Diceros bicornis minor: one gene and its partners. The protein of the gene in region 1 interacts with the protein of each later gene in a pairwise test. Links are inferred from orthologs where the notes say so. Each region holds a gene or a part of one and is shown in the gene's direction. Other genes may lie near its edges.

Region 1 (7,891 bases):
ACTTTGTTTTGAATCTATGTAGAGCAATTATCACTACTCAATGTTTTCTTGTTTCTTTCTTGTTGGTCTTGGGCGTAAGCCCTGCAAAGGCAGCAACCTTGTCCACCACACTCCCTGGTGTGACCCAGTGCCTAGGCAGAACCAGGTACACAGTTGGCACATAGTAACCATGTAAACAAGGCCAATAGTCACTTTTGAGCAGAGTGCAGGGGTTAAAGCCACCAGCCATAAGTCAGGTGGGTCTGGATGCCAATATTGATTTTGCCACAAACCAGCTATGTGACCTGAGCTCAGTTACAGAGTCTTTCTGTGCTTCAGTTTCCTCATTTGTAAAAGGAGGCTAATGATAGCCCTTATCTTGCAAGGTTGCTATAAGATTTATATGAAGTGGTAGATGTTAGATCTTTAGGAGACTTTCCAGCATGTAGTGAGTGCACTGTAAAGCGTAACTACGGCCTTCATCATCATCATCACCATCACCACCATCATCCTCACCACCACCACCATCATCACGACCATCATCATCATCATGATCACAATCTTCATGATCACCATCATCGCCACTACCACCATCACCATCATCATGACATCACCATCATCATCACCATCACAATCTTCATCCCATCATTGTCACCAACACTATCATCAACATCATGTCATCATCACCATTATCATCATCACCACCATCATCACCACCATCATCGCCACAACCACCATCACCATCATCATGACATCACCATCATCATCACCATCACAATCTTCATCACCATCATTGTCACCAACACTATCATCAACATCATGTCATCACCACCATTATCATCACCACCATCATCATCACAATCTTCATTATCACCATCATCGCCACTACCACCATCACCATCATCACGACATCACCATCACAATCTTCATCACCATCATTGTCACCAACACTATCATCAACATCATGTCATCATCACCATTATTATCATCACCACCATCATCATCACCACCATCATCATCATCATCACAATCTTCATTATCACCATCATCGCCACTACCACTATCACCATTATCATGACATCACCATCACCATCACAATCTTCATCACCATCATTGTCACCAACACTATCATCAACATCATGTCATCATCACCATTATCATCATCACCACCATCATCAGCATCACTACCATCATCATCACCACTACCATCACCATCATTGTCACCAACACCATCATCAACATCACATCATCATCATCATCATCCCCATCATCGCCACTACCACCATTACCATCATCATGACATCATCATCATCACCACCACCATCACCATCACAATCTTCATCATTACCATCATTGTCACCAACATTATCATCAACATCACATCATCATCACCATTATCTTTATCACCACCATCATCATCACCACCACTATCACCATCATTGTCACCAACACCACCATCAACACCATCATTATCATCACCATCACCACCATCATCACCATCCTCATCATCATCACTACCACCATCCTTCCCCTGCATGCCTGCCACAGCATCCTTCATGGGATGCCTCGTCAAGGGCCAGGTGATTGGAGATTGATGGCTTAGAGTCTTCCTGCTCCAGGGAACTGCAGCCTGCTCTTCCAGGCAGATGGCTGGGCCTGGGACAAGTGGTGGCAGTGACATCCCTTCCATGACAGCAGCCCCTGGAGGCAAGGATAAAGGAGGCCATGGCTTTCCTTGGGAGAATGAGCCCCATGTGCAGCACTTTTGGCTCTGCAGATGTGATGCTTGTTGCCATGGTGACCGTCCTAACAATAACCTCCCAGAAGTGATATTCCCCACACCCGCCCCAGCTGCCACCTGGGAGGGAGAGCCCTCTTTGCTGACGAAAGCCAGCTAGAAAGGATAAGGTGGGAGGTGGAGATGACGTGGGGGTGTGGGTGGAAGAGGGCCCTTCCTGAAGGAGAGGTGGGAGGCCAAACCCAGATGAGAGGGCTTCTGGGGTCAAGGACTCCAGAAAGAGTCATGGCTGGCCGCCTGTCTCCCTTCCAGCTTTTCCACTGTGCTGGGGAGGAACCCTCTGGTCTGGAGGTGGGTGTCGGTTGTTCTGTAAGTGGGGTGAGGGGTTGGGCTGAGTAGGTAGTGACAGTCTGGGGCCTTTTGGTAGCTCAACCATTCCCCACTGTGGTGGCCTGATCACCCCGCCCACCCTGCCCTCCTCAGGGTCACTCCACGTCATACCTTCAATGTTTCAGCCCAGGGGAGGAGCTGCCCAGGGGGACCCCAGGTGCTAACAGGAATAGAACAGGGGCCTCAAATTGCACCCCTTTAGTGACCCTGACTTCTTGTGTAACCTGGGTCTTGTGCAGCCTCCCCACCCGGGGAAAGGAACCTCAAAAGAGGCTACCCAGAGTGCTGCTGTGTCCTCGCCCAGGAGCTGCAGGAAGCCATGCGTGTGTGTGAGTGTGTATGTGTGAGTATATGTATATGAGTGTGTCTGTGTGTAAGTATGTGTGTATGTGAATGTGTATTGTGAGTGTGTGTCTGTGTGAGTGTGTCAGTGTGTGTGAAAAGACAAGAGAGGATTTATGGGCCAGTGGGGTTTGAGTCCAGCCGCTTCTTGGCTGTGTGACATTGGACAAGTTAAGTTACTTCACCTCTCTGTTTCTCTGCTGTCCCATCTCGTAAAATGGGGACAATAGTAGTATATGCCTCCCAGGATTGTTTGAGAATTAAATGAAATAATACATGTAGAATGCATGTAATCAAATCAGTGTCAACCATCATCATAATTTTAATGCCACTTTACCATTGCGTGGACTCATGCTGGTAAGAGTGTGTGTGACCTTGGCAGCCCATAGCCTGGAGAGAGCCTGATTTACCAAGGGGTGCAATTTTGTTTTGTTTGTTTTGCTAATTGTATTCTGTTGTGTAGGACTGCCTCCTTCTCTTTCCGGAGCTCAGAATGATACAGATGGCCCAGCACGTGCGGGGAGAGGCTCCTATGGGGCTGAACACAATCCCAAGAGCAAGCCTCTGCCCGTCTGTGAGGGACCTCGAGTCCTCCCCTGGCCGCCCCAGGAGAGGTGGGTGTCTGCCTGGCAGGTGCTGGGTGCTCTGGTCCCAGCACTGAGGCAGGAAGGTGGTCTGAGATCAAGGCCATGTCCCCCACAGGGCCCTCTCTGCCCCCAGCTGGGGACCTGCCTGTACCCTTGTGTCCTCGACCTCTAGCCATCTCCTGGGTGCAAGTCGGGTCTGCAAAACTACCCAGGACCGAGACTTGTCGCCATGTGGTCTGCTAATCTGCCCAACAGCGGTGCACCAAAGGCATCCTGGTGGGAGAGACCCTGGTTGCCCCAACCCCAGAATCCCTTCAATTTGATGTTTTATCCAGGAATATTTATTATGGCTTCTGAAGCCAGCCCTAGGCTGCCTGCCAGGGTGAGAGAGATGAGCAGGACAGGCCCAGACCTTGCGCCTGGGGAGCCTGCGGTGCAGGAAGTGGCTCATGTCAGAGCAGCTGCACGACCCAGATCCAGAGCTGGCTGCTGGAAACTTCTTTCCTCAGGGCTTGTCCAGCACAGACCCTGGCCCTGTCCCCTCAGAAGAAATGGAGGTGCTGGAGCCCAGTGGGTCCTCTTTGCTGGGTCTGAAGTCCTGGTTCTAGATGGCCCTCCGGGAGGCTCTTCTGTGGGAAATGGGGTCAGCCTAGCCTCTCCTGCCCCTCCCTCCATGCTCTCTCCTCCTCCCCTCCAGGGCTACTTTCAAGATGGACCCTCTTTTTTTTTCAGGCCAGAGCAGAGGGCAGGCAGGTGGACCAGGCCTGGAAGAGGGGAGAATGTGTTCCCCTACCTGGGCAGGGGGGCAGTGAGCTGTCAGGATCCTGAGTTGCTGATGGAGCAGCTCCTGTTCCCCTAACTTAAGGACCCTGGTCCTTGTCAACTCCAAATGCTCATTCCTGGGACCTCCACTCCAGATACCCCAGCGGCCAGTGCTAGGAAAAGCGATGGACGGGCTGGGACCATGGGGAAGGGGCTGCCTCCACCCTTTCATCTCCCACCCGCGGTGTACGCGCCTAGTCTGGGAGGCTCCTGGGCAGCTCTGCCAGGGGGTCTGGACTGTGTGATATGTGGAGTGGTGGAGACAGGGCAGGAGGTGTCTGGTAGCATCTCCTCCTGGGGGTGTGAGGAATGAGTTCTGTGGACAGGGGCACACATGCTGCCCCCCCCCGCCCCCATGTGTGCCTGAGTTCCCTCTTGAGGTCTGGGGCGAGGTGGGCCTTCAGGGGAGAGAGGGGGCTGGGTTCATTGTGTGCAGTCCCCTGCGTGTGTGTACAGGGGGGGCGCCAGCAGAGAATGGAGAAGTCAGTTCAGGCAGGCCGGGGGTGCCCGTGTACGTGGCCCAGGGCGCATGGGTATGGATGCGGGTGCGGAAGCGGGTTGCATGTGGAGGCGCGTGTGCAGGGTTCAGGTGCGGGAGCACGGCACAGGTGCAGGCGCATGTGCAGGGAGCGGGTTCGGGCGCAGATGCAGGATGCGGGTGCAAGTCCGTGGAGCGGGTATGGGTGCAGGTGCAGGGTGCGGGTGCGAGTGCAAGGGCTGGTGCGGGTGCGTGTGCACGGAGCGGGTGCGGATGCGGGTGCAGGGCGCGTGCAGAAGGCCGCAGGCGGGGCGGGCGCGGCGGCGGTGGCAGCGGCGCCCGCGCTCCCCGCGCGTAGGTGTGTGGCGCGCTCCTGGCGGGGACGGAGCGCGCAGATCTCGCGTGCGCTCGCCGCCCGGCGCAGCCCAGCCCGGCCCCCGCCCGGCGCCGCGAGCCGAGGTGTCGCCCGCGCCCGCGCCCGTGTCGCCGCCGTGCCCGCGAGCGGGAGCCGGAGTCGCCGCCGCCCGAGCGCAGTAGAGCGCACGCCGAGCCCGTCCGTCGCCGCCATGGCCACCACGGTGACCTGCACCCGCTTCACCGACGAGTACCAGCTCTACGAGGATATTGGCAAGTAAGAGCCGAGGCGCGTGCGGGCCGGGCGGAGATCCCGGAGGGCGCCGCGCTCGGAGGGCCGGGACCCTGGAGACCACGACCCTCCGCGCCGCCGGCTCCAGTGCAGCCCCGCGCGCCCCCGGCTCCTCTCGGCTTGGGGCCCGGAGCGCACCGCCCCAACCCCCGGCCCCGGCGCGCGCGGCCCTGCCCGGCTCTGCCCAGCGCGGCCGCCCGGCCGGAGGCCCGGACTCTGGGCGCGGGGCTCGGCGTGGCGGGGGCGGCAGCAGGTGTCCCCAGAGCGCCCGGCAGACGTGACGCATTTGGCGGCGGGAGGTCAGAGAGGAGGAGCGCGCGGGGGCGGCCGTGAGGCCGCGGAGGTGGCAGTGCCCCCGAGGGTCGTCAGCGTGCGGGCCGCGCTGTCCCCACCCCCACCAAGCGGCCGGGCGCGGGGGTGGCGGGACCTGCTTGGCGCCTGCTCCTCCGCGTGGCTCCATCCGCGAGGGGGGTGCCGGCTGCGCTCCCAGCCGCGTGGGAACAGCCTCTGCCGTGGGTCTCCCGGGGAATCTGGGTTCTGGAGGATTTCCCCCCCGGATCCTTCTGGAAAGAGGAGTCTGGAGAGCTGGGGGCCCAGGTCAGGGAGCTTGGATCAGGTCACTGGGCTGGAGATGAGGGGGTGAGGTGGGGAGCCTGATGGGCTTCTGATTTCAGGGCCATCGAGGTAGATGGGGGCTGGATTTTGGAGAGTTATTGGGGGGGGGGCTATTGGGAAGGGCTTTGAAGGCTTGTTTCAGGTGAGGCCTCACCCGAGGAACAGGTGGCTCCTGGGCTCTGCTCACCAACATGAGCAGTGTGAGGTTCTAGATCAGGCTTTGTCCCGGGCTCCGAGACTGTGAGGCTGGTCTCGGGGTCCTCGGCTCTGTGAGTCAGAGTGGCTGCACCTGGCGTCCCTTGGGCCAGCTCCAGCACTCCTGAATCCCCGGCTCCAGCCTGGCACAGCCAGAGCCCCATCCTCCTCCATCCAGCATGTGTGGTGGGGTGCTGGCGAGGTTTCCTCTTACACATCCAACTGCAGATCCTTTTTTTCCCAGTTCTAAAAGAATGTCAGTGGTGATACCTTGTGTTGGGAGGGATGCTGATCATTGATGACTGTGGGCACCGAGCTAGGAGGAGTGCGAGGGTGTGCTGATTCCCCAGTTCTCCCTGCACATGCCCAAGGATGCCGGTCAGGCTTGGGGACTCAGCAGCCGGTGGAGTGGTGGAGTGGAGGAAGCTGGTGGCGCAGGCTGAAGGGCAAGGCCAGGGCCTGTGGACCGAGAAACTCCCTTCCTTCAGGTGGGAGCCGGCTGGGTCCCCAGCCCCAAGGTGGGGGGATCTGGAAAGCAGAGCAGAGGGAAGGAGGGGTCCAGCACATCCCCTGTGTGTGCACCTCAGCCCCCAGGACACAGGCCTTGAAGAAGCTTCCTGGGGCTGGCTGGGACCAGGCCTGTGAGGATGGGCCATGGGCTAGAGGTCCTCAGATGGGACAGGTGGTTCTCCCAGGCAGAGGGCGGCAGTGGGGGAAGGTCACCAGTTTCTAGGAGACCTTCTTGGTGTTCTTGTGCTGGTGCCCAGGAGCATACAGGCCCTCAGACCCTTCGAAGGTGCTGTCGGCCCCTCAAAGAAACACCCCTCCCTGCACCCTGTTCCTTCAACCTGAGGCTCACTCCGCTGACTCCTCCTTCACTCTTGTGGGAACCTTCCTGGGTCCAGCGGCTGTGTAGGGTGGCCGGCCCAACCCCAGGCCTTCATTGCCACCAACAACTGGTTATCCCGGCTACTGCCACATATGCCCACACTGGGGAATGGAGGTCTTCCGGGCTGCCCTCAGGGAGGCTGAGAGGGGATGGCCGACCCCGCAGTGGAGGCCAGGCTCCTCCTCCATCAGCAAGAACAAGAGCAGCCCAAGAAGGGAGCCGTGGGGGCCGCCCCATGCTGTGGTGCCAGGGCCTCAGGCGTGAGTGGGTGAGGAAGCCTAGCCGTCGAGGGGGCACCAGGGGCCTGGGAGATGAGGGGAATGCACCTCAGTGTGCTGGGCTGGCCCTCCGGGGCCAGGAAGCCTTCAACTTGGCCCAGCACCCCTTGAGGAGCCCCCCAGGTGCCAGGCCTGGTGAGGGCCTTGAAGGGGCCTGTCACAGCCCTGCTGGGGCGTCCTGGGTGGGGCAGAGGATGAGTGAGTTCAGGGGTGAGCTGCCTGGGTCGGACACTCAGGCCACGGCCTTGGTCCTGGGGCCCTGGTGTTGACAGTGCCTGCCCCAGGCACAGTTGGTGTTGCTTCCCGGCCCAGGTGGGCGCGTCCAAGTTTATTTAAAGCAGCAGCCCCTGGCACCAGTCAGGCGACGCTGAGCTCCCTGCCCGGGATGGGCCGGGTCACAGGCCCACAGCTGCCCACGTGATGTGGGCAGCTCGCCTCCCTGCCTGTCCCACAGCTGCCCCTGTTCTGGATTGTCCCCTGGGGGCCTGGGCAGCGGGGTCTGAGGGCCAAAAGGGGCTGTTTTCTGGGGCTGTGCTCTCCCTCGCCCAGCTGGATGGGCCTGTTGGGCTCCAACCGGGAGGCCCCAGTCCTGGGTCAGGAGCCACCTGGAGCCCAGGGGCCCTGGACAGGCGCAGGGCAGACCCGGCCCAGCACAGGCTGGCCAGCAGTGCGGTTTTAATTTTTTATATTTGATAGATTTTAAAAATTGAGAAAACTTCCAGGAGTAATAAACATTTGTCTCTCTTCTGCCCAGAATTGAAAACTGTTTCTCTTTTGTCATTTTGGCCTTAAGTTGTTTTTTAAAATTATAAGAAATAAAGCATTACAAATAAATGTTAAGTAACCATTCTCCTCCAACTACTGTCATGCATTTGGAATTTATCTTTCCAGACTCTTTCTGGTTCATTTATACACAGATATAAGCATCCATA
Region 2 (5,864 bases), on another chromosome or scaffold:
CTTAGGGGCATTACTGGAGATTATGTTAAAAAGACCACTGGCAAAAAAAATATCCTCAGCCTGCTGGTGGATACATAGTTACCTTATAACATGTTCAGTACTTAGATACTGTTGAGAACTCTGCAAGGCACAGTGTTATATTTATACTTCCCTTTAAAATGATGATACGTGGTCACTATTGACTTATCCTTGGTGTTTTCAAAACTAGAAGCATTTCTTCACCTATAGGCGGCAGCAGCTAAAACTATGACCATGACGAAATAAACCTCAGCTTACTTTGGATAAATGAAGAGGACAGGTGGGCACTTATTTTCTTGAGGACTTTAAAAGATTCATGTTCTAACAAACCTGCTAATTCTCTGAAGGCCCCATCCGAGGGTCGAAAAAGCTGAGCCATCCCACCATGCAAGCAAAGGCCAGGGCCAGGACCCTCCACTGTGGGACATTCGGTACCAGAGGTTAAGCAATCCTTACTGGCAGCTTTTCCTTTAGGTTATTTTCTAGAAATGCCTTTTCTGCAAATGTTAAGTCTTCCTCAGAGAAAAGGTCTCTCCATTGGACGCTTTGGTATCTTTCCCCAAGATAGTACTGACATAATGTTTCCACCCAAATAAGGGTTGACTTTGATCACTCCAGCATCTTATGACTCACAGAGACTGAAATATTAGTATACATTTTTCTAAGGATCCAGGAAATGTTTATCTCTCACCAAGGATTAATATAATCTTTTACCACACACAGAGTTTGGAAAAGGAGTAAAATGCCATTCATATATATTCATCAATAAATATTGAGGGCCTCCTACGTAGGCACTGCACGAGGTGTTCTGAGGGACAGAGGTGGCTCCAAAGATAAGCCAGATACGGACCCTGCCCTCAAGGAATTCACACGGTGCTGGGAGATAAGACGCAGACATGTAAATAATTATACTACAGGATAATGATTCACGCCATAAGTGAGGTCAGTAAAGACTCCAACCACATTTCAGAGAAGGAAGTGACCAACCTTAAAAATTCGTGCGTGAGCAATTCCATTACTCCATTTTGAATCCCAAAGCTTCAGTGCAAATCTTTCTGTGGGAGACAAAAATGGAAGAATCCCCAGCAGAAAGTACAATCAGCCCTTCGTATCTGTGGCTTCCACGGCCCCTGTCTTAAACACAGCACTCCGTCCTCGGCTGGTTGAAATCTGCAGACGCGGAACCCGGTAACGGAGGGCTGATTCAGGGACTTGACCATCCGAGGGAGGTCTAGGAACCAACCCTACCTCGGACACCGAGGGACAGCTGTATTCAAACTGCGGCATCCTCCTGGTACTGGAGAGGCCACCAAGATTCAATAATGCTCGTCCACGTGGCTACCGGAGTCCTGAGGCTGGTCTCGTCTAGATGGGGCTCTCAGGCCGCCTGGGTCTGGCTAGTAGTTGTCACAAATTTATGAGGCGCTGCAGCTTTAAAAGCATGTCCCCATCCATTATCTGTTAATTATTGTCCCTGAGGGCCGTCTGGCACCATGAAAAGGGCAGCCAGGACACCAGGGTTCTAATTCCGCTCAGCTCTCTCTGATGTGAAATGAGGGGTTTGGTCACCAGATTCTCTCCAAGGTCCCTCGTGTAGCTGGGTGAGTAGGGCAAATTTTATTATCACCATTTTATAGATAGTGAAACTAAGGTCAGGAGAGCTGAGGGGACTGGCCCAAGGTCTCAGATAATAACTGATATCCAACACTTGAGATTAGACACCAGGCCTATGAGGACAAACACTTTCTACCACACCTTACTCAAGAGCCACACCTACCATTTGTGGGCAAGAGCACAAACAGAGGCTCACGTGGCATTAACCTAAGTATTTACGTTATAAATCAAGACAAACCTAGAACATGATCTATCCTCCCACCGTGACAAACACCTCTTTGCAAGGAGGTGGATGGCCAGGTGTGAATTATGAAGCTTGGCCTCCTCCAACCACAGGCTGGAAGGTGGCAGGGAAGGCATGCTGACTCCACTGACCCCTCCTCCTTCACTTGGAGGGGCCCACTGTGGCAAGGGGCGGGGCACACCTTCTCCCACAGGTCCAAGCACTGTCCACACCCAACCAAAACTCATTCCTGGATGCAGGGGTGAGTTCTGAGGCCCAAGCAGAGCCTGGACGAGGGTTTGGTACTATTTGGGCAGAGATTCCAGAATTGTGACCACCTGGCCAGTCTAGAAGAGGGTTCAGGCTCCTCGACCCTGTGGGAAGGGGCACTGAGAGAGGGTGGTCCCTCTTGCTTGGGTTTAAGAGCCGGTCCGATCACACTGCCTCAAGATCCAACCTAAGAAAGAGTAAAATCCGGGAACTTTCTTTCTTATGAGAAGATAGAATGGCCAGTTGGTTACAAGACCAGGTTCTGCTGCCCAACACCTGGGCTGGGATCCTTGCTCGGCCATCACCAGCAGTGAAATCTCAGAGAAGTGACTGAATGGCTTAGGGCCTCAGTTTCCTCATCTTTAAAGTAGGTATAATAATTATCATTATTATGAGGATTGCATGAGACAGCATGTGTAAGACGCTTGGCAGACATAAACGCTGGGTAACCGCTGTGAGCTTTTCTCCAGCTGGAGAATTATATAGGCATAATTACATCCAGGCACTCCGATAATCAAGGTTCAACCCTCTCTCCACCAAGCAGGCCGGCCGGGCGCAGGAGTGGGCACGACCCACCCACCCAAGGCGCCGGCTGCTGCCCGCGTCCCGCCGGGTCCCTGGCCGAGGCGTCCACGCTGCAGACACGCACACTGCGGGCTACAGCCCGGGTTCGGAGAAGGTTAACTCGCAAACGTGGCCTCAGACACTGAAACCAAGTGTTGGCACCCGCGGGTCCACCTCTCCGCTGCGGACGGCCGCACCAGGGGCGGTGGCGGCGCAAGAGGCAGGCAGCACCCAGAGCCAGAGTGCACGCGGCTCGGCCCCGCCACCCCCTTCCCTGGGGCTCCGGCTGCAGCGCTGAGCCTGCGACAGGTCCCGACATCTCCCCGCCGCCAGGAGGGAGGGAGACTCGGGCAAGTCGAGGCGTCTCCCTGCACCCCCGCGGGTGCCGCCCGAGAGCGAAGGCGTTTCCTGAGGCCCTCGGCTGGGATGATGCCTACGTGGTCCATTTCCACGTCCTAGCCCTCTCCCCTCCCCGCAAAAAAACTTGGCAACTTTGCTGTTTCTTGAAGACTAGACCTGCAGCCAGCCCCTTCTGCTCCCTTTAGGGCCGGTGGTGCCTGGGCACCCAGAAGGCAGGCCCTCTGGCAAACCTCAACAAAGGACTATATTTAGCTCCGAGCTCTCCGCCCAAATTCCTCCTATTTTTTCACTCTTAGCTTCAAAACGACTGGGTTGGGGCAGTGGAGGAGGGGCGGGCGCACGGAGAGCAGCTGCACCGCCCTCCGCTCGGCCCATCACCCAATCCCAGCGGAGGCGACTTTTCAGGCGCGCCGCCGCCCAAACGGACGAGAGCCGGCGGCGGCCAATGGGCGAGCCCCGGGGCGGGGAGTGCGCGGGGCCGGGGGGCCGGGGGACCGGGGGGCCGGGGGGCCGAGCCCGCGGGTGGGCGTGCGCGGCCGCCGCCGCCTCCTTCCACCCCAGCCCGGCCCGGCGCCCGAGCAGCCCTGGCCGCCGCCCCTCGGCGTTGGGGGGGTGGCCGGGCTCGGGCTGCAGCCCCACCGGGGGAGGCGGTGGGACCCGCCAGGTGGCCGCCCGCAGAGGCCCTAGTGCCGAGGGGCGGCCCCTTCCCCGTCGGGACAGCTCTCGGGTCTTTGTGCGGGGTGACGAGGCCGCGTAGGTGCCCGTGGCGGTCGGTGTGAAGGGCGGCGCCGTCCGCCGGGAGATGCTCGCCGCCCCCGCGCTCCGCGCCCCCAACGCCCGCCGGCTCTCCGGGCCGTGACGCACCCCGCCGGGGGCCCGGGGTGGAGTCCTCGGGCTCCTGATACCGGAGGCGGAGGCACAGCCCGCGGCCCCGGGCGGGACCCTCAGGCACGCCCCGCAGAGCGCGGAGAGGGCGCCCACGTGCTCCCACCGGAGCCTGCCTAGCGCTCCGCCGCCTCCCAGCCCCGCGCTGCTCTGGTCGGGTTCTAGACCCGCGCCCTCCGGCACCCGCCCGCGCGCTCCGCCGCCCCGCCCCGGCCCCGCCCCGGCCGGCCCCCAGTCCCGCCCCCGGAAAGCCAGGGGCGGCGGGCGGCGGGCGGCGGCGCACTGGGCATGCTCGCGGGCCGGGCGGGCGGGGCGAGGCGGGGCGGGGAGGGCCGGCCGCGCGCGGCGGGCAGGAAGCCCTGGGCCGCGGAGGCTGCGGGAGAGAGCGCGATGGGCCGCGGCGGCGGGCGCACGCTCCGCGGGGACTCATGCCACGCGCGTCCCGGCCCGGCGCGCCGCTAGCAGCCGCCTCCGCAGCCAGCCGCCGCCGCCTGCCGGCCCTCCCGGGCTGCCGCGGCCGGGAGCTGCCGCCGTCGCCTCGCGCGGGCTGCCGGCATTGTCCTCCCGGTCAGCCGCGGGCTGCTGCGGGGCCCCGGACCCGCGCCCCAGGGACGCGCCGCCGCCGTGCCCGGCCCGGCCCCCGCGCGGCGATCTCGGCGCCCCGCGCGCCCCGGCCGCCCTCGCCGAGCTGCTTCCTGCGGAGCGGAGGCAGGGGAGAAGTGCGGCCGCCTAGCCCGGCCCTTCCCGGCGCGCAGCCCCGACGGGGCCGCGGCACGACGGAGCCATGAGAGAGTACAAAGTGGTGGTGCTGGGCTCGGGCGGCGTGGGCAAGTCCGCGCTCACCGTGCAGTTCGTGACGGGCTCCTTCATCGAGAAGTACGACCCCACCATCGAGGACTTCTACCGCAAGGAGATCGAGGTGGACTCGTCGCCGTCGGTGCTGGAGATCCTGGACACGGCGGGCACGGAGCAGTTCGCGTCCATGCGGGACCTGTACATCAAGAACGGCCAGGGCTTCATCCTCGTCTACAGCCTCGTCAACCAGCAGAGCTTCCAGGACATCAAGCCCATGCGGGACCAGATCATCCGCGTGAAGCGGTACGAGCGCGTGCCCATGATCCTGGTGGGCAACAAGGTGGACCTGGAGGGCGAGCGCGAGGTCTCGTTCGGCGAGGGCAAGGCCCTGGCCGAGGAGTGGAGCTGCCCCTTCATGGAGACGTCGGCCAAAAACAAAGCCTCGGTGGATGAGCTGTTCGCCGAGATCGTGCGGCAGATGAACTACGCGGCGCAGCCCAACGGCGACGAGGGCTGCTGCTCGGCCTGCGTGATCCTCTGAGGCCGCGCGCCCCGCGCACAAAGCCGAGCGCACGGCGCGCTCGGCGGGATGCCCTTCTCGCTCGGAGGTTGGAGACGACTCGGCAGCGGCCGGGGTGGCCTCCGCCCCGCGTCCGAGGGGCTGTCCCGCCCTGACCCTCCGCGACCCGGTGGGAACGTGGCGCTGTGCAGCATGTACGTTTCTCATTGATTTTGGTTGACGCATATTTCCCCGTTGAAGCAGTCGTTGGGGCGCTGTATTGGCAGCTTGACACCGGCAAGCGAAAGTTTCAGCCAGGAAAAAATGCGGTGGGGAAGGAAGAGGACGGGAGAAGGTGGAGGGGACCTTGTGTGTGTGTGCGTGTGCGTGTCAACAACCGTTTTCTAGTTCCAAGTTTTCAGTACACGGAAGAAGTCCGGGAGAACCAAATGAAGGAGCAGGAGGAGAGGAGGAAACTTGTTTTTTCATTGTTTTCCAGGAGTAGCTGGAAATTAAGATCGGGTTCCTTTTCTGCCAGTTTGGAAGGGCAACCCCGTGACTGATTGCGATTCCGAGGATGTCTATGCAAAGTTGGGTTCTTGTTACAGTGTATCCAATCTGAAGTATTGCACATCT
Region 3 (7,258 bases), on another chromosome or scaffold:
AGAGAGGCCCAGAGAGGGTCAGGGGCTTGCCCAATATCATACAGGAAGCCAGTGGCATAGTTAGGCTTTTCCTGGGGATGAGAAGTAGTTGGATCTGTCTTAATTTTGCCAGGAATAGAAGAGAACAGGACACTCTGGGTACCAAATATGCCAGGCTCTGCCCTTCTCTCAGTATCTCTACTCCTAGGAGACCTTGTCCCCATTCCCAGGGCAGATTTCTGCCTCCCAGTTTTGACTGACCCCCCAGGCTGCTGACTATGCTCCGCAAACCCCTCCAGGCACCACACATCCCTCATTGCGCCTCCAAGCACTGATGTACCATGTGCCTTGTGACTGTCACCCTGGTCGGACAGCACAGACCTCCACCCCTCCCCAGCAGGGGGCTCCCTACAAGGAAGGCTTTCTTGGTCCCCTCTTCTCATCTGCCTCATCCTTGTGTCTCCCTCAAGTCTGCCTTACCCCCAGCCAGCTCCCTGCTACACCTGTGTCCCACAGGTGGGATACGCCCAGAGGCGTATCACCCATGAGAGCTGGGGACAGCAGAGTGCAGGGAGGGTGAGGCCTGGGGAATGTCCAGGTCTCAGGGTGAGGGCCAAGGGGGCTGGGAGTATCCAGGGAAGGTCTTCCCTGGCAGCCGCAATGCCCTCCTAAGAGCTGAAGTCCCGCAGGTCCTTCCCTTGGAGCTCACCTCGGCTTGGAGTTCACAGAAACCTCAGGCAGTGGGGAGAAGATTTTCTGGGGCAGAGGTGCATGGGCTGCAAATTCAAATGCCTTCAGGTAACGAAAATGAGAGAAGTGGAGGTGCTAGACAATAGAGAGGGGTGGGGACTCTGGCAAACAGGAGAGTACATGCCCTGCCTATAAGCACTAAAATTCAAATTTTTGAAAAACCCTGTGCTGGCCAAACTAAACACTCATATTTGCCCCATGGGCGACCAGTTTGAAACCTGTGGTTCAAAATATTGAGAAGGTTCTAGGAAGCCCTGCAGAGTCTGGAAACCCCTCTGGGGAAGTCAGGAACGGAGGCCCCGGCTCCCTCTGAGACTTTTCTAGTCCAGTTCTAAACCCTCTCCACCTAGGCACCTGAGACCAGGCCCCACTGCTCTCTCAGCTAAAAAGGGGAGGGAGGTCTGGGTGTCCACAGGGTCCCTGGTTTGGGAACTATCATCTGATAAGGGCTACAGGCCCCCCCAGTGCCTGAGGGAGGCAGTTTAGGGGCTGGAGTCTTCTCCTGTTTGGGGGCCCCTGGTTAGGAGGAAACTGCATTGAGTGGGGGGACAGTCCAGGAACAGGATGAGGACTGAAAGCCAAGACCCAACTGCCCCCATCCTGTGCTGGCCCTGACTACACTTTGGCACTTGTCTCCCTCCCAGATAAAGCTGGGGCTTAGGGTAGGGGCTGCTCGGGGGTGCTATCAATTTCTGTACTAATGTGCTTTGTGATGTCTCAATGAAACGGACTGAGTGCAAAGCTACGTGGGCAGCAGTGGGGGTGGGGCCTGTGTTCCCCATTCCCAGCCAGAGACTTCTGAGACCCCGGGGCTGGAGGTACAAGGGACTGTAATGTGCCATTCTGGTTGGGGAAGGGCTAGGACGTTCCTGGGTTCTTCGTTGCTGCAGGTGAGGGGAGGAAGAGCAGGAAATTGTGGAAGTGAGAGAGAAGGCCCGGTCCAGGGCTGACCTTGTTCCTGGAGACAGAAAACTCCCACAGGGTAGAGGTGTGGTCCTCTTGTGCCTGGCTTCATCCACCCTTCCCTTCTCATGGCACGCAGGGGGCTGCCCCTCTCCCCAGCAACCCTGGCCATTATTCTATGCACAATCATAAGGGCACCCCCAGGCCAGGCTGAAGAGGGGGCAAGGGGGGGGGCGGGGTGGCCCTGGGGCGCCTGCAATAATCCGAGTGGAGAGTAGCCTGAGACAAAAGGAGGTGAGAAAGGCACCAGGTGGGAAAAGGATATTCCTCCATCTTCCTCTCACCCAAATCCCAAAATCCAAACCAGGCCTGTCTCCATTGGGCTAACCCACCAAACTTGGGAAGGCCTCACACACAGCCCCCAACCCCCTTGGTTTTCCAAACCAGTCATAAAATAGCTGGAAGGGACCAGAACAATTTCCAGAGCCCCCTCTTATTGTTTTCACTCCTGAGGATCCTATAGTTTGGGAGATTTTTCTCCCAAACAAGCCTGACTTCTTGAAGAATGATTAATTTTCCCACATTGAATTAACTCAAGCTGAGCTTCTGATTGCGGATAAATGTTGCCAAGGCCTCACGTTAGCTTCTAAGGCTTGAGGGTGGGGGAGTATCTGTATTCTATTGGAGTGTTTAATACACAGTTCTCGAGAGCATTCATGGGACCCCACTCCTGCCCCCATGGATCCTCAGGGCCTGGGACCCCAAGGTGGGAATCAGTGGTTTAATCATCCAACATCTGTTTTACTGAAGGGGAAGGCCCAGCAAGGTGGCCAGCCCAAGGTGACATGGCAAGTTGGTGGGAGAGTGGGACCAGAGTCCCACCAGAACACCCCAGCCCTGATGCCCCCTTCCACTTTTTCTCTGACTCCGGGAACCACTAGCCATGCCTGAGGGGCTGATTTCCCTCCCTCAGCACAAATCCGGGTGATTCTTCCCTCCCTAATCGGCCCCCACCCCTGCCCACTTCTGTTTCTTGTTCCCTGTCCCACCTCCTGGTATTGACTACATCTGTGCCATCCTCAGTCCCACCCCCACTCACCCCTCTGCGCTTCCCCCAGGAGGGGGAGGGGGCCCCAAGCTGGGGCTTCTGTACTGAGACTTTTGTACACCACAAACTTTTTGTATATTTTTAATTTTGCTGAGACATGAGATATTAAAAGTCATTTCAGTACGTGCTGTTTGTGTCCTATTGTTTTGGCTGTTCTGGGCCAGAGGAAGACGATGAGGAAGGAGGGACGGGGAGGACAGATACCTTCTACCACAATCCCTGTGGCTCCTTTAAGAGACAAAGATATTTGGTTGGGAAAGGCCAAGACGGTACACAAAGCTCCCTGTTGATTGGACAGAGCTCAATCAATGAACCAAAATCTCAGGGCCAAAGGTTTTAGGGATTATCTCCAAACTCTTCATTTTACAGATAAGGAAAAAAAAGAGATAGTGGTAGGGGTGGACCTGCCAGAGGTCACAGAATGAGTCCATGACAAAATCAGGAACCGGACTGAAGTTCCTAACTCCATTAAAAAATATATATATATATATATATATATATAATTTGTGTGTGTGTGTGTGAGGAAGATCAGTCCTGAGCTAACATCCGTACTAATCCTCCTCTTTTTGCTGAGGAAGACCGGTTCTGAGCTAACATCTATTGTCAATCCTCCTCCTTTTTTTTTCCCGCCCAAAGCCCCAGTAGATTATTGTATGTCATAGTTGCACATCCTTCTAGCTGCTGTATGTGGGACGCGGCCTCAGCATGGCCGGAGAAGCGGTGAGTCGGTGCGCGCCCGGGATCTGAACCCGGGCCACCAGCAGCGGAGCGTGCTCACTTAACTGCTAAGCCACGGGGCCGGCCCCAAAACATATACTTATTGAGTACATACTTGTGCCAGACACTGTTCTAGGCACATTGAACAAGAAAGATATAAAACAGGCATGCTCCCTGCCCTCATGGAACTTACTTTCCAGAGGGTAGTGCCTCTAAAATGTGTCCCTGCCTCCAGGGTTTCCACCCTCTAATCCAGGGGTTCTCAAACTTCAAAGTGCATCTGAATCACTTGGGGGACAAGGGGCTTGTTTTAAACGCAGATTTCCATCTCCATAACCAGAAGGCAGACAGAGCATGCCTGGGAATCTGCATTTTGAAGGTTCTCCAGGGGATTCTAGTGCAAAGGCTCTGAAGATCTCACTTTGAGGACCACTGCTTTAATGCAGCCTCCCACAAATCTGATCATGAGCTTTCGTTGCTTTAGAACCTCCCATGGCTCCCAAGGACCCTCAGGATAAAGACTAAACCCTTTGCCTGATGCTGATTTTTCACAACCCGGGCCCAAAATACCCCTTGAGCCTCATCTCCTACATAACCCTGCTCGGTCCTCATAGCCTCTCCAAACTACCCATCTTCCTGTGTGTGTGAGCCTCCCCTGATTGCCACCCACCAGCCTTTCTCACCATTCTTTCATGCAGGTAGAGCCCTATTTCCTTAGGGGCCCCCAGCCCAAATGCTCAGGGAATATAGCCCCCCACCTGACCCCAGGAAGCTGGTCAAAATTGGCCTAAGACAATGGCTCTGAAAGTGGGGTCCCCAGACCAGCAGCACCGGGGAACTTAGAAATGCTGCTTCTCAGGCCCCATCCCAGACCTACTGAATCAGCCACTGTGAGGGTGGGGAGCAGCATGTTTTTATAAACCTTCCACGTGATTCTGATGCACACCAAAGCTTGGAAACCATTGGTCCAAGATCATTCCCCTGACCGAGGATTGGTGGAGGCAGGGGCATGTGACCCAAATTTGTAAGGCAGAGACTGCTATGTGTCCTCAGTATCTATGATCCCTTTTTTCTGCAAAGAGATTTTTAGCTGGGCACATGGCCACCTAGAATAGAAGACTACATTTCCCAGCCTCCTTTGTAATTAGGTGTTGCCATGGAAACAAGTTCTGGTCAATGAGATATGAACAGTAGAACTTTGTGCTACTTCCAGATCATCCCTTTAAAGGGAGGAGTTGTGCTCACCCCTGGGTCAGTTTACCCTTCCTACTGACTGCACTGCGGCTGTGTGGAGAGCCATCTTGAAGTTGAGAGCAGAACCTTAGTATGGTGGAGTGACAAGACAGGAAGCCCCTGGGTCCGGGACATACGGAAATGTCATACCTGCCCTCGACTGCTTATGTAATGGAAGAGAGAAACTTCTATCATGTGTAAGCCACTGTTATTTGGGTCTTTGTTACAGCCGAAATATATCCTGGCTAATACATCTGGTTCCTAGATTCCTAAGGGAAGTCTTTTGAAGACTCTCTGGGAAAGATTTTCCTTCACAATGAAAAGACACACAAGAAGGGGAAACCCTTGGCCTCTTCAAGGGTTGATGGCATCAAAAGCAGGATGGTGATGGATGGCATCATGTCTGTATTGCTCCTAAAGCCACTGCAGCCTTCTCACTAGCTGTGTTCGTTTGCTAGGGCTGCCATAACAAAACACCATGGACTGGCTGACTTAGAAATTTATTTTCTAACATTTCTGGAGGCTGGAAATCCAAGATCAAGGTGTCAGCAGGATAGGTTTCTTCTGAGGCCTCTCTCCTTGGCATGCAGATGGCCGTCTTCTCGCTGTGTCCTCACATGGTCTTTCCTCTGTGCGTGCGCACCCCTGGTGTCCCTCTGTGTGTTCAAATTCCTGCTTCTTATAAGGACACCAGTCAGAGGAGATGACAGCCCACTCTACAGCCTCATTTTAACTTAATCATCTCTTTGAAAGTCTTATCTCCAAAAACAGTCTCATTCTGAGGTACTGGGAGTTAGGACCTCAACATATAAATTTTGGGAGACACAATTCAGCCTATTGCAGCAGCAAAGTAGAAAATGTAAGTAACTTGATTCCATTTTTGAGCTGCTCAATTAGCCAGCCCTGAAATCACTTACCATTGGACTTCTTGTCTTGAGAGAGAGTAAATTTTCCTTATTGTCTAAGACACCTTTGATCAGATAGTCTATTGTTTGCAGCCAAAAGCGTCACAATTCTGGCACTGTGTGTTTGCTCAAGCTGTTCCCTCTGACTAGGGTGACCTTCCTTTCACATGCCCTTCAAGGCTTCGCGTGACTGCCACAGGCTTGGTAAATGGCTCCTGATTCTGCCTTCTCCAACAAGTCGCTTGTCTTATATCCGAGTTCTCTGCTTCTGTGTCTCTCTCTCCAAGCAGACCATAGTCAGCATATGCGCTGTACACCTGCTACCTCATTCCCCCCTCCTGTCCCATGGCAGGCATTGATAATCAATCCGTTTTTCATGCTGGGGGTAGATCTGGTTTTTATAATCCTCTACACAGCACTCAGGCAGCCCCTGCCAGTCCACTGGAGGTGGTTCAAAAGAGACGAATGTTATTTGCCACACTGTTAAGTCTTTGAGAGGGACTTTATTTTACTCATCTCTTTTTTAATTCACGAGCTAATTTTAATAATAGGTGTTACCATTGTATGCTTCTATTCCCATTAATCCCTGCAGCAGCCTTCTGAGGCAAGCACCGTCATCATCCCGCTTTTGACATGAGACTCGGGGGTTTCGAGAGATGAACTACCTTGTTCAAGGTCATACACAATTGAACCTAGGTCCACCTGTCTCCACCCACTTCCACTGACTTTTAATAAGCGCTTGATCTGTTCATGGCCCTGGGGTGGGCACTGCAGGGAATACAGAGGTAGTTTGCTATTTCTAGTGGCATTTGGAACACTTCTTGTCCTATTTGAGATTCTCAGCGGTTCAGTGAGGTTTGGAGTTAGTCCAGGAGTAACAGAAGTCCCCATTTTACAGATAGGGAGACTGAGGCTCAGAGAGAGGAAGAGGCTTGCAAGAGCAAGAGACCACCTTTCATTCCCTGCTGCCACTCTGAGGGTGGGAATTTGGGACTTGCTCAAGGGGTTAAGTGGGAGTTTTGATATCCAGAGCACAGCCAGGGACTGGGTTGCACATCCTGGCCTCTTCCTGTTGGCCCAGCAGGCTGATGGAGAACTCACTTCCTGCTGCTGGGGGGTGACTGGCAGGATGTAGGGAGCAGGGGGGAGTGGCTGTGTAAGCTAGCACTAAACAGCCTGGGCCATTCCCCTCCCCAAGGAGGGGAGGAGGGAGACATGGAAGAGAGAAGGCTGGTGACTGGGAGTCCCCTGCGGCCCTCACCCCTAGAGGCAGTGGGGGGCTCAGACCCTCCCTCCAACAGGCACTGACCTGGCACACCAGCTTTCAGAAAAAACTTTGAAAACAATCTTATACGCTGGCCCCTGCGCTTCACAGCTTCCAGCTGCTTTCTCATCCATGCCTGACGTCTTGCACGCCACACCTCTGACTGCAGGGCGGGGCTTTGGGATTCTTGTTCCCATTGGAAAGATGAGGAAGCTGAGGCCCAGAGAGGTTACAATGAGCAACCTGCCCTGGATCATACAGCAAGTCAGTTTCAGAGCTTGGGTCTCCAGAACCCAGGTATCATGGCAAGGGCAGGAGGGGTCAATCAGAACCTTTCCAACTGTCCTCGGTGGGTCCTGCAGAGCACATAGGCCCTAGAAGTAAGGAACGAGGCCTCAG
Region 4 (7,934 bases), on another chromosome or scaffold:
TTTTCAAGTTGTGATGTATAACAGATACAAAAATGCATAATACAAATATATACAGTGTAAAAAATAATTATAAACCTGTACACCATCACCCAGGTCAAAAGAGGAGGCATTAATATTCCCCATTCTCCCCACCCTATGTGACAGTCCCTGATGACAATCCTATCACTCTCCTTGAGAGACACTCACTATCCTGACTTTTGTGACAATCATTTCCTTGTTTTTCTTTATAGCTTTAACACCTGTTTATGTTTTCCTAACAAATAGAGTTATTTATTTATTTATTCTTAGCAAATTTCAATTATATAATACAGTGTTATCAACTATAGTCACCATGTTATACATTAGATCCTCAGATCTTATCCATCTTATAGCTGAAAGTTTGTACCCTTTTACCAACCTCTCCCTGTTTCCCCCAACCTCCAGCCCTGGCAACCACTTTTCTACTCTCTGTTTTTATGAGTTCAACACTTTTTTTTTTCAGGATTCTACATATAACCAATACCATCATCATAGTACTTGTCTTTGTCTGTCTGGCTTATTTCACTTAGCAAAATGCCCTCCAGTTTCATCCATGTTGTTGCAAATGGCAGGATTTCCTTCTTTTTTAAGGCTGGATAATACTCCATTGTATATATATACGCACACCACATTTTCTTAATCCATTCATCCATTGATGGACACAGGTTATTTCCATACCTTGGCTATTGTGAATAATGCTGCAATGAACATGGGAGTGGAGGTATCTCTTTGAGATAATGGTTTCGTTTTCTTTGGCTATATACCCAGAAGTGGGATTGCTGGATTATATGGTAGTTCTATTTATAATTTCTTGAGGAACCTCCATATTGTTTTCCTTAGTGGCTGTACCCATTTACATTCCTACTAACAATGTACAAGTGTTCCCTTTTCTCCACATCCTCTCCAACACTTATCTCTTATCTTTTTGATAATAGCACAAATAGAATGCTAGATCTTTGTAAGCATGGCTTGATCCTGTATATTTTCTTTGGGATTTTTCTTTTCCCCCTCAACATTGTGATTCTTCCTTGAGTGTGTAACTGAAGTTCATCGGTTTTCATGGCTATTTGGGATCCCATTGATGAGTATACTACAGTTTACTAAGCCAGCCTACTGTTGATGAGCATCTGAGTTATTTCCAGTTTGGAGTTATCACAAACAGTGTTGCTATGAATCCCCTTTGAAGCGTCTCTGGGTGCACTCATGCTCAACATATAGGGTATACACCTAGTAGTGAATTGCTGGGTCAAAGGGTATGGCTATTTTCAACTTTAGTAATTATTTTCAGTTATTTTCCAAAGAGCTTGTACCAATTCATATTCCCACTATTAGTGTATGAGAGTTCCTGTTGTTTTTTATCCTATCCTCCATAGTGACATGAAAAAATAATAAAATAGATGAGTGGTTAGATGGTAATAGTACAAAAATATGGAAATGAAAAATAAAGGCCTTACCCCCTAGTCCTTTCCCCCAAGGGAAAGAGTTTTTTAAGTATCTTTCCATAAAAATTTGAAGAAATGATTTAAGCAATATATTTAAGTTTTTATAACAATTTGTGGATAATATTTTTAGTCCAAAGAAAGAGTGTGCAAATTAAATCTAATGAATTAAATATCTGCTGCTGTTAAATATGTTGCTGTTTGTAAACCTCGATGCAATCATCCATAAAATATTTGTTGAGCACCTATTATGTGCTAGGACTCTTCTAGGAGCCTGGGATACAGCAATGAACAAAACGGCAAAAAGTTCCACCCTCATGGAACATATGTTCTAGTTGGGGGAGACACAATAAAGGGATCAGTCAAATATGTATTAAGCGGTATTAAGTGCTAAGGAGAAAAATAAACCAGGGGGGATGAGAGGGAGTGCTGAGGAATTGCGATTTTAGGTAGGATGGCCAGGGAAGGCCTATTTAGAAGGTGGTTATTTAGATATTCAGCTAAAGACCTGAGGAAGTGACCGGGTGAGCTTTGGGGGTGCTGAGGAAAGAGTGGTCTGGGAATATTCAAGGACCATCAGAGAGGTCAGATTGGCTGCAGCCAAGTGAGCAAGAGGAGAGCAGTGGATGAGGCTAGGGGTATGGAGGTAGGTGTGGGCAGGTTCTTGAACACCACAGGGAGAAGCGATCACATTCTAGACTTATTGTGAACATAGAGCTGGTAGGATTTGCCAGTGGGTTGGATGAGGGGTATGAGAGACATAGAGGAATCAAGGATGACCTAGGTTGTTAGCTTCAGCAATTGGAAGGAAGGGATTGGAACGTGCTCAGATGGGAAGACTGAGAGAGGAGCAAGTTCTGAGGGAGTGGAGATGCCTCGTCACACAACGGGAGTGACATGTCGCCTAGGCAAGAGGACAGATGAGTCTGGAATTTAGGGAGAGGTCTGGGCCGGAGATACGCGGTGGTCGTTGAAAGGACAATTTAAAGTCACAAGACAGGATGAGACCTCAAGAGTCCAAGCACTGCTCTGGGCTCTCCCAAGTTCTGAGAGGAAGGAGGTGAAGCGGAACCAGCCGAGCAGGCTGAGCAGGGTGGCCAGAAAAGTAGGCATGTGCAGGGTCTTCGAAGGCAAGGAATAAGCGTTTCAAGAAAAGAGGGATCACATCTGCTCAGTGCTCTTGAGAAGTCAAGTAAGATGACTTCTGACAACGGATTATCGGATTTAGCAGTTTAGAAGGAATTAGTGACCTTGATAAATTGAGCAGTAGAGACAACAACCAGAATGGAATGGGTTCAAAAGAGAATGGGAGGGGGGAAGAGGAGAGAGGGTGTATGCATAAACAGCTCTTTTGAGAAGTTTTGCTGAAAAAGGGATAGAAATGGCCCAGTAGCTTGAGAAAGTAGAAAAAAACCTAAAATGGGAAGGTGAGAGACTGCATAAGGTGAGAGCTCAGTGGAAATCCATCAGCACTATAGCAAGAATAACTCATGATGGGGCCCTCCATTGCTATCCTTGAGAACAGGGCACGGTCATAAACAACTGGCAATCATATACAAATGGTAAATCCGGGAGCACCATTTTCTCTCTGCAGAATCCTGAACACAGTAATATCCGGGCTGAGCTGTTATTTTCTCTGGCTCCCTCTGCCACCTCAGGAGCTACCACATGGAGAGTGTTGACAGATGCTGTCTTGGGCCAAAGGGTAGCCAAACCCTTTTCCAAAGGTACAGGTGTTGCTCCAGATCACTTTTTTGCTGCCTTCTGCGAGGGACCAGGCTATTTAATCCTGAACCAATCAGCCTATTCCTCAGTCTAGGAATTTACTCCAGCATGTGGTTGGAGCCAGGCTTTCTGTGTCCCGGATCTATCTCCCAATCAGATTTTGAGCTTTTTGAAGAAGGAAATGTCTCCAACTCGTACAGTGATGTGCTCACCCATACAAATAGGGCTGGGCCTCAGAAATCCTTATTCCATCGCAGTGACTGTCTGGGAAGGGCTGCTGAGAGACAGAATGTTTAAGTATGGAAGGTAAGAACAAAGAGGAAGAAAGGCCCTAACATCACTGTGCTAGGCTCCTTAGGTTCATTACCTCATTTAATCCCCCCAAAAGTCAGGAGGGTGAGTATTATTACCCCTAGTATTACCCCCATTTAACAGACAAGGAAACTGCCTTGCCTTAGGCTCCAAAGCTGGCTATTGCTCCTGGGTCCCATCATAACAAATCCACCCATTTCAGGACCCATATCCGGAAGAGGTGGTGGTTAAATAAGCTTGGTGACCCTTGATGTTTGCATTGATTTAATTCACGCTAGAAAAAAAAATTTTTAGTGTAATAATCTTGAAACCGTAGAGTGATCTGGGCTGCCCTCTCTGTTCCTGGCACTTACAGACATGTGGTGGGCTGCCTCCATGGTCCAGGAACGCAGGAGTGACCAGGATGAGGCACAGTTCCTTCACAGCTATTCAGTTTAGTATAAATGGGTTTTCAAATTTCACTGGAGAGCTTGAGTTCTGTTGGTTTCATTTGATTTTTAAAAATCTGATTACAAAAGCAATTTATGTTCATTATAAAAAATCTGGAAAAAGTCAGATCTCCATTATGACTGGAAAATTCATATGGAGTAAAAAGCTCTCTATAATTCCGGCACATAGAGGTGATCTATGGTGTTTCTTGGGCAGATTTTGTGACCCCGACCTGGCCTGGACTCTGGACTCCAGTGCGGGGCATATCGTATGCAATGGAACAGATCAGCATCCTTAGGGCTCCTCACTGCATCACGTGCACCCCCAGGCAAACGCTCAGCGATCCCAGGAGATCTTGGGAATAACCCCGACGCAGTTTGCAGCGGGCAGTGTAGACAGACCTCCGTTCCTCTCTTCTTTCCAGCTCAACTCGGCAGCTGTGTGCTGCTGCCGCAGAGGCACTTGCTGCGGCCTGACCGCTCGTGGTTCCCCGTTTTGTGCACCCACGTGCCTCCCAGCGAACACGAAACGGCAGCTCCGCCATGAATGAATGCTCGTTTACGGGAAACCGCCTGCAGTTTCCCCTCAGGGCTGATATTAGAAGCGACCCCGACGCGGACTCCTGCAGGCCTTTCCCACTGCCCGCCGGCCGCAGCGCCTCGTGGGCGCGCCGTGAGACCCGCCAACTGCCGGGCGCGGGCGCAGGAACACCGCACACGAACATTCGCCACTTGGGGCGAAGCTGACACACGCGGCCACCCAGCCCGGCGCCGCCCAACCGCCGCCGAACCTTCTGGAAGCGGTGCCCAGCCCCGGCCCCGCCGCGCCGCCAGAGGCAGCGGCGGGGAGAGCCGGCCGCGGCCCAGGGGGCGGGGCGGGGGCGGGCGCGAGGGCGGGGCCTGCGCAGGAGGCCGCGTTCGATTCGCCGCCGGCGCCATGGCCCCGCCTCCGCCCTCCCCCTCCATGGCGCCGCCCAGGCTCATTCATTCCGCGCCCGGCCTGCCAGACACTTGCGCTCTCCTTCAGCCGCCCGCCGCCGCCGCCAGCATGTCTGACCCCGCTGCCGAGACCCCGTCCGCCATCCAGATCTGCCGGTAAGAGGGTCGCGCGGCACGGCCAAGGATGCTGGGTCACCGCCCAGGCCTGCCCCACGCCCCTCCGCGCCCTCCCCCTCCCCCTCCCCGCGCCCGGCCCTGGCCACGGCCGGATGCTCCTCTGGTGTCGCAGAGCCGCGGCCTCTCCGCGCGCCTCCTCGCCGGCCTCCGGCGGATTCTGGGGGCGGCGCAGCGGTCGCGCAGGCCGTTTGCGCAAGGAATCGGCGCCGCGCCCTTCCTCGGGCGGGGGTCGGAGCGCAGCCGTCCCCGCCCCCTGCCCTGCTCAGCTCCGCCCTGCCCGGCGCCCGAGCACGCCGGAATCCCAGCCCAGGTTCCGCTGAGCCCCCTAATTAGAGGTCGTTATTCGGCGGTGGTGCAAAGTCCACCGGATCCCTCGAGATGTGGGGCGCAGGTAACCAGCTCGCTGGGCGGCGGCCGGAGCCCGGCAAGCCCATTCATAGGTGCCCGAGTGGGCGGGGGCTGCAGATGTCCAGTCCCTTCGCTGCACTGCTTCGGTTTCTGTGGGGAGCTGGGTGTTAACAGGAGGAACAGAAAATACCTTTCCCCTCTAACAGTTTACTGCTAAGAAGAGGGATTGGTCCATTGAGCCTGGAAGCATCTTAAACAATGGGGGCAAAGGGTTGTTCTTCACAGTGAAGAACCCCTGCCTTCCTCCACAGGCACTGGGGTAGATAGAGGCCCCCAGAGGAAGCGGGAGATGTGAGCTGGCTCATTTCCCACAGGAGAGGGAAGGGCAGCCTCAAGGTTACTCTCCATTACCTTGGGCAGAACCGGAAGCAGGCATGCTGGTATTTGAACATGAGCTAAGTAAAGAAAAGAAGTCTGGGAAGGCCGCACAGGCGCTGGGGCCTGCAACAGGGCCTGTCCTGCGTGATGCACCAAGAAGAGTGAGAGCTGCTTCTTGTTTGGGGACAAGTTCCACAAATTTGGTGGTCGGGCATCACATTGACCTTGGGTCCAAGCCAGGTTAGTTTCCTGTGGATGTTGACATTTCTGGACAAAGGCTGGGCATTCAGGAAGTGCTGGATCAAGGGGGTTCCCTGACCTCACCCCCGTTTCTGACCTAGTCAAAGTCCTTTCCTGACCTCAAGGTCAGTTTTGACTTTTCTTGGGAGAAGAAATCTTTGGGGGAGCCTTACTCCATTTGCTTTGTTATTGGCTGTGTGGCTGTCTGGGCCCCACCCACTTCAAGATCCTGGGGCAAAAATAATAGAAGGAATTGATATTTGGAGACACATGGGCCTTGAGTCAGGTCTTTGGTTCAGGCTCTGCCTCCTCTTGGCTGGGTGACCTTGGGGTTCATCATTTGCAAAGGGCTTGTACATCTCTCGTCTCATTTGGTTTGCCCAACTTCCTTGGAAGGGAGGACTACAGGGATTTCCACCACTCGTGCTGGTGGAGGAGGAAATTGAGGTTCTGGGAGACCCATTGCCTCTGTAAGGTCATCCAGCTGAAAGCACAGGGGGCATCCCCCGCCAGGTCTTCTGTCTCCAGGCCCGTGTTCTTTCCACTGCACTCTCTCCTAAAAAGAACATACTGATTTCAGTCTACTGGAGGAAGGCTGGGCTTTTTCTTTTTTTTTTTTTTTTGTGAGGAAGATCAGCCCTGAGCTAACATCCATGCTAATCCTCCTCTTTTTTTGCTGAGGAAGACCGGCTCTGAGCTAACATCTATTGCCAATCCTCCTCCTTTCCCTCCCCAAAGCCCCAGCAGATAGCTGCACGTCACAGTTGCACATCCTTCCAGTTGCTGTATGTGGGATGCGGCCTCAGCATGGCCGGAAAAGCGGTGCGTCGGTGCGCGCCCAGGATCCAAACCCGGGCCGCCAGTAGTGGAGGGCGCGCACTCAACTGCTAAGCCACGGGGTCGGCCCAGGCTGGGCTTTTATTTGTTTCATAAGGATGATGAATAGCCAATTTATACGTATTATCTTTTATAAAACCAGCCTCTAACATTTAGTAGATTTTTGGATAGCTTTAGACATGTCCATGTGTGTACAAGCCTGTGTGTGTGCATTTTGTTACTCACCCTGCTTCCCAGGCTGCCTCTTGCATATTCACAATTGCGCCATGTCTCTGAGTGGCCACTTTGGTCGTGGGGTGCTTGGGCAGGATACCTAGCTGAGGTTAGCCTCAGGTGCCCAGCACAACTGCCAAGGTGGGGGGGATGCGGTGATGAGGGCCGTGGTCACAAGGGCTTGGCCCAGAGAAACCCCAGGACACTGGAGAGTGGACACACCAGGGTGGGGAGCCCTTTAAGGACATCTGAGCCCACACCCTGTGTTGAAAGAGGAGCTTCCTGGCCTAGGACAGCCAAGCCCGTGAATTTAACAAATTTCACTGGACGACTCCAAGGACCAAAGCGCCATGAGGGAGGGACACCAACCTGGAAAATTAGGTCCCTGCTTTAGAGGGTTCACAGTCCAGCAGGGAGTGGGTGCCCAAACCCGCGTCATCCTAGACAATAAAGAGTGGTCACGTGCTCTTGGCTGGGAAGGAGATATTGAAGGGATAGGGGCTCTAAAGGTTGTGGAGGGCAGTGGTTAGAGCCGACTCTGCAGTCCAAGGCCTGGGTGTGAATTTGGCTGCTGCCCGTGTTAGCTGGGTAACCTTTCTGTGCCCCCATTTTCTTATGGGTTGTTCTGAGTGTTAAAGAAAAGAAAGCACATCTAGTGCCTGGCAGAATGGCTGGCACTGTAAGTAAAGGAAGCCCTTTTTGTCTGAAAAGTGGAACACAGGCTCAAGAGGCCGATGGCCTGGGTTCAAATCCCAGCTCTGCCTCTTGCAGGTGTGTGGCTTCCGGCATGGTCCTTCACCTCGCTGGGCCTCAGTTCTCTGATCTGTGAGTTGGGGATAATAATAGTGCCTGTTTCAGGGTTGCTGAGAGGATGAAAACC

The links. The genes of interacting proteins can lie anywhere in the genome.
Region 2: the proteins of CAMK2B (region 1) and RAP2B interact in binary tests that used the Homo sapiens proteins (3 or more experiments, as listed by UniProt). The two-hybrid records come from large-scale screens. The link is inferred for Diceros bicornis minor from reciprocal best matches to the Homo sapiens genes CAMK2B and RAP2B.
Region 3: the proteins of CAMK2B (region 1) and CCM2L interact in binary tests that used the Homo sapiens proteins (3 or more experiments, as listed by UniProt). The two-hybrid records come from large-scale screens. The link is inferred for Diceros bicornis minor from reciprocal best matches to the Homo sapiens genes CAMK2B and CCM2L.
Region 4: the proteins of CAMK2B (region 1) and ACOT7 interact in binary tests that used the Homo sapiens proteins (3 or more experiments, as listed by UniProt). The two-hybrid records come from large-scale screens. The link is inferred for Diceros bicornis minor from reciprocal best matches to the Homo sapiens genes CAMK2B and ACOT7.

The regions. Positions count from the first base shown.
Region 1 is NC_080780.1:1,436,806-1,444,696, reverse strand, and holds the start of CAMK2B (calcium/calmodulin-dependent protein kinase type II subunit beta), read left to right. Parts: upstream 1-4,873; 5' UTR 4,874-4,902; coding exon 4,903-4,967; intron 4,968-7,891. UniProt on the Homo sapiens protein: Calcium/calmodulin-dependent protein kinase that functions autonomously after Ca(2+)/calmodulin-binding and autophosphorylation, and is involved in dendritic spine and synapse formation, neuronal plasticity and regulation of sarcoplasmic reticulum Ca(2+) transport in skeletal muscle.
Region 2 is NC_080741.1:2,231,229-2,237,092, reverse strand, and holds RAP2B (ras-related protein Rap-2b), read left to right. Parts: upstream 1-4,643; 5' UTR 4,644-4,718; coding exon 4,719-5,270; 3' UTR 5,271-5,358; downstream 5,359-5,864. UniProt on the Homo sapiens protein: Small GTP-binding protein which cycles between a GDP-bound inactive and a GTP-bound active form. Involved in EGFR and CHRM3 signaling pathways through stimulation of PLCE1.
Region 3 is NC_080758.1:27,534,680-27,541,937, reverse strand, and holds the start of CCM2L (cerebral cavernous malformations 2 protein-like), read left to right. Parts: upstream 1-4,252; coding exon 4,253-4,264; intron 4,265-4,803; coding exon 4,804-4,887; intron 4,888-7,258.
Region 4 is NC_080752.1:26,450,988-26,458,921, reverse strand, and holds the start of ACOT7 (cytosolic acyl coenzyme A thioester hydrolase), read left to right. Parts: upstream 1-4,970; coding exon 4,971-5,017; intron 5,018-7,934. UniProt on the Homo sapiens protein: Catalyzes the hydrolysis of acyl-CoAs into free fatty acids and coenzyme A (CoASH), regulating their respective intracellular levels.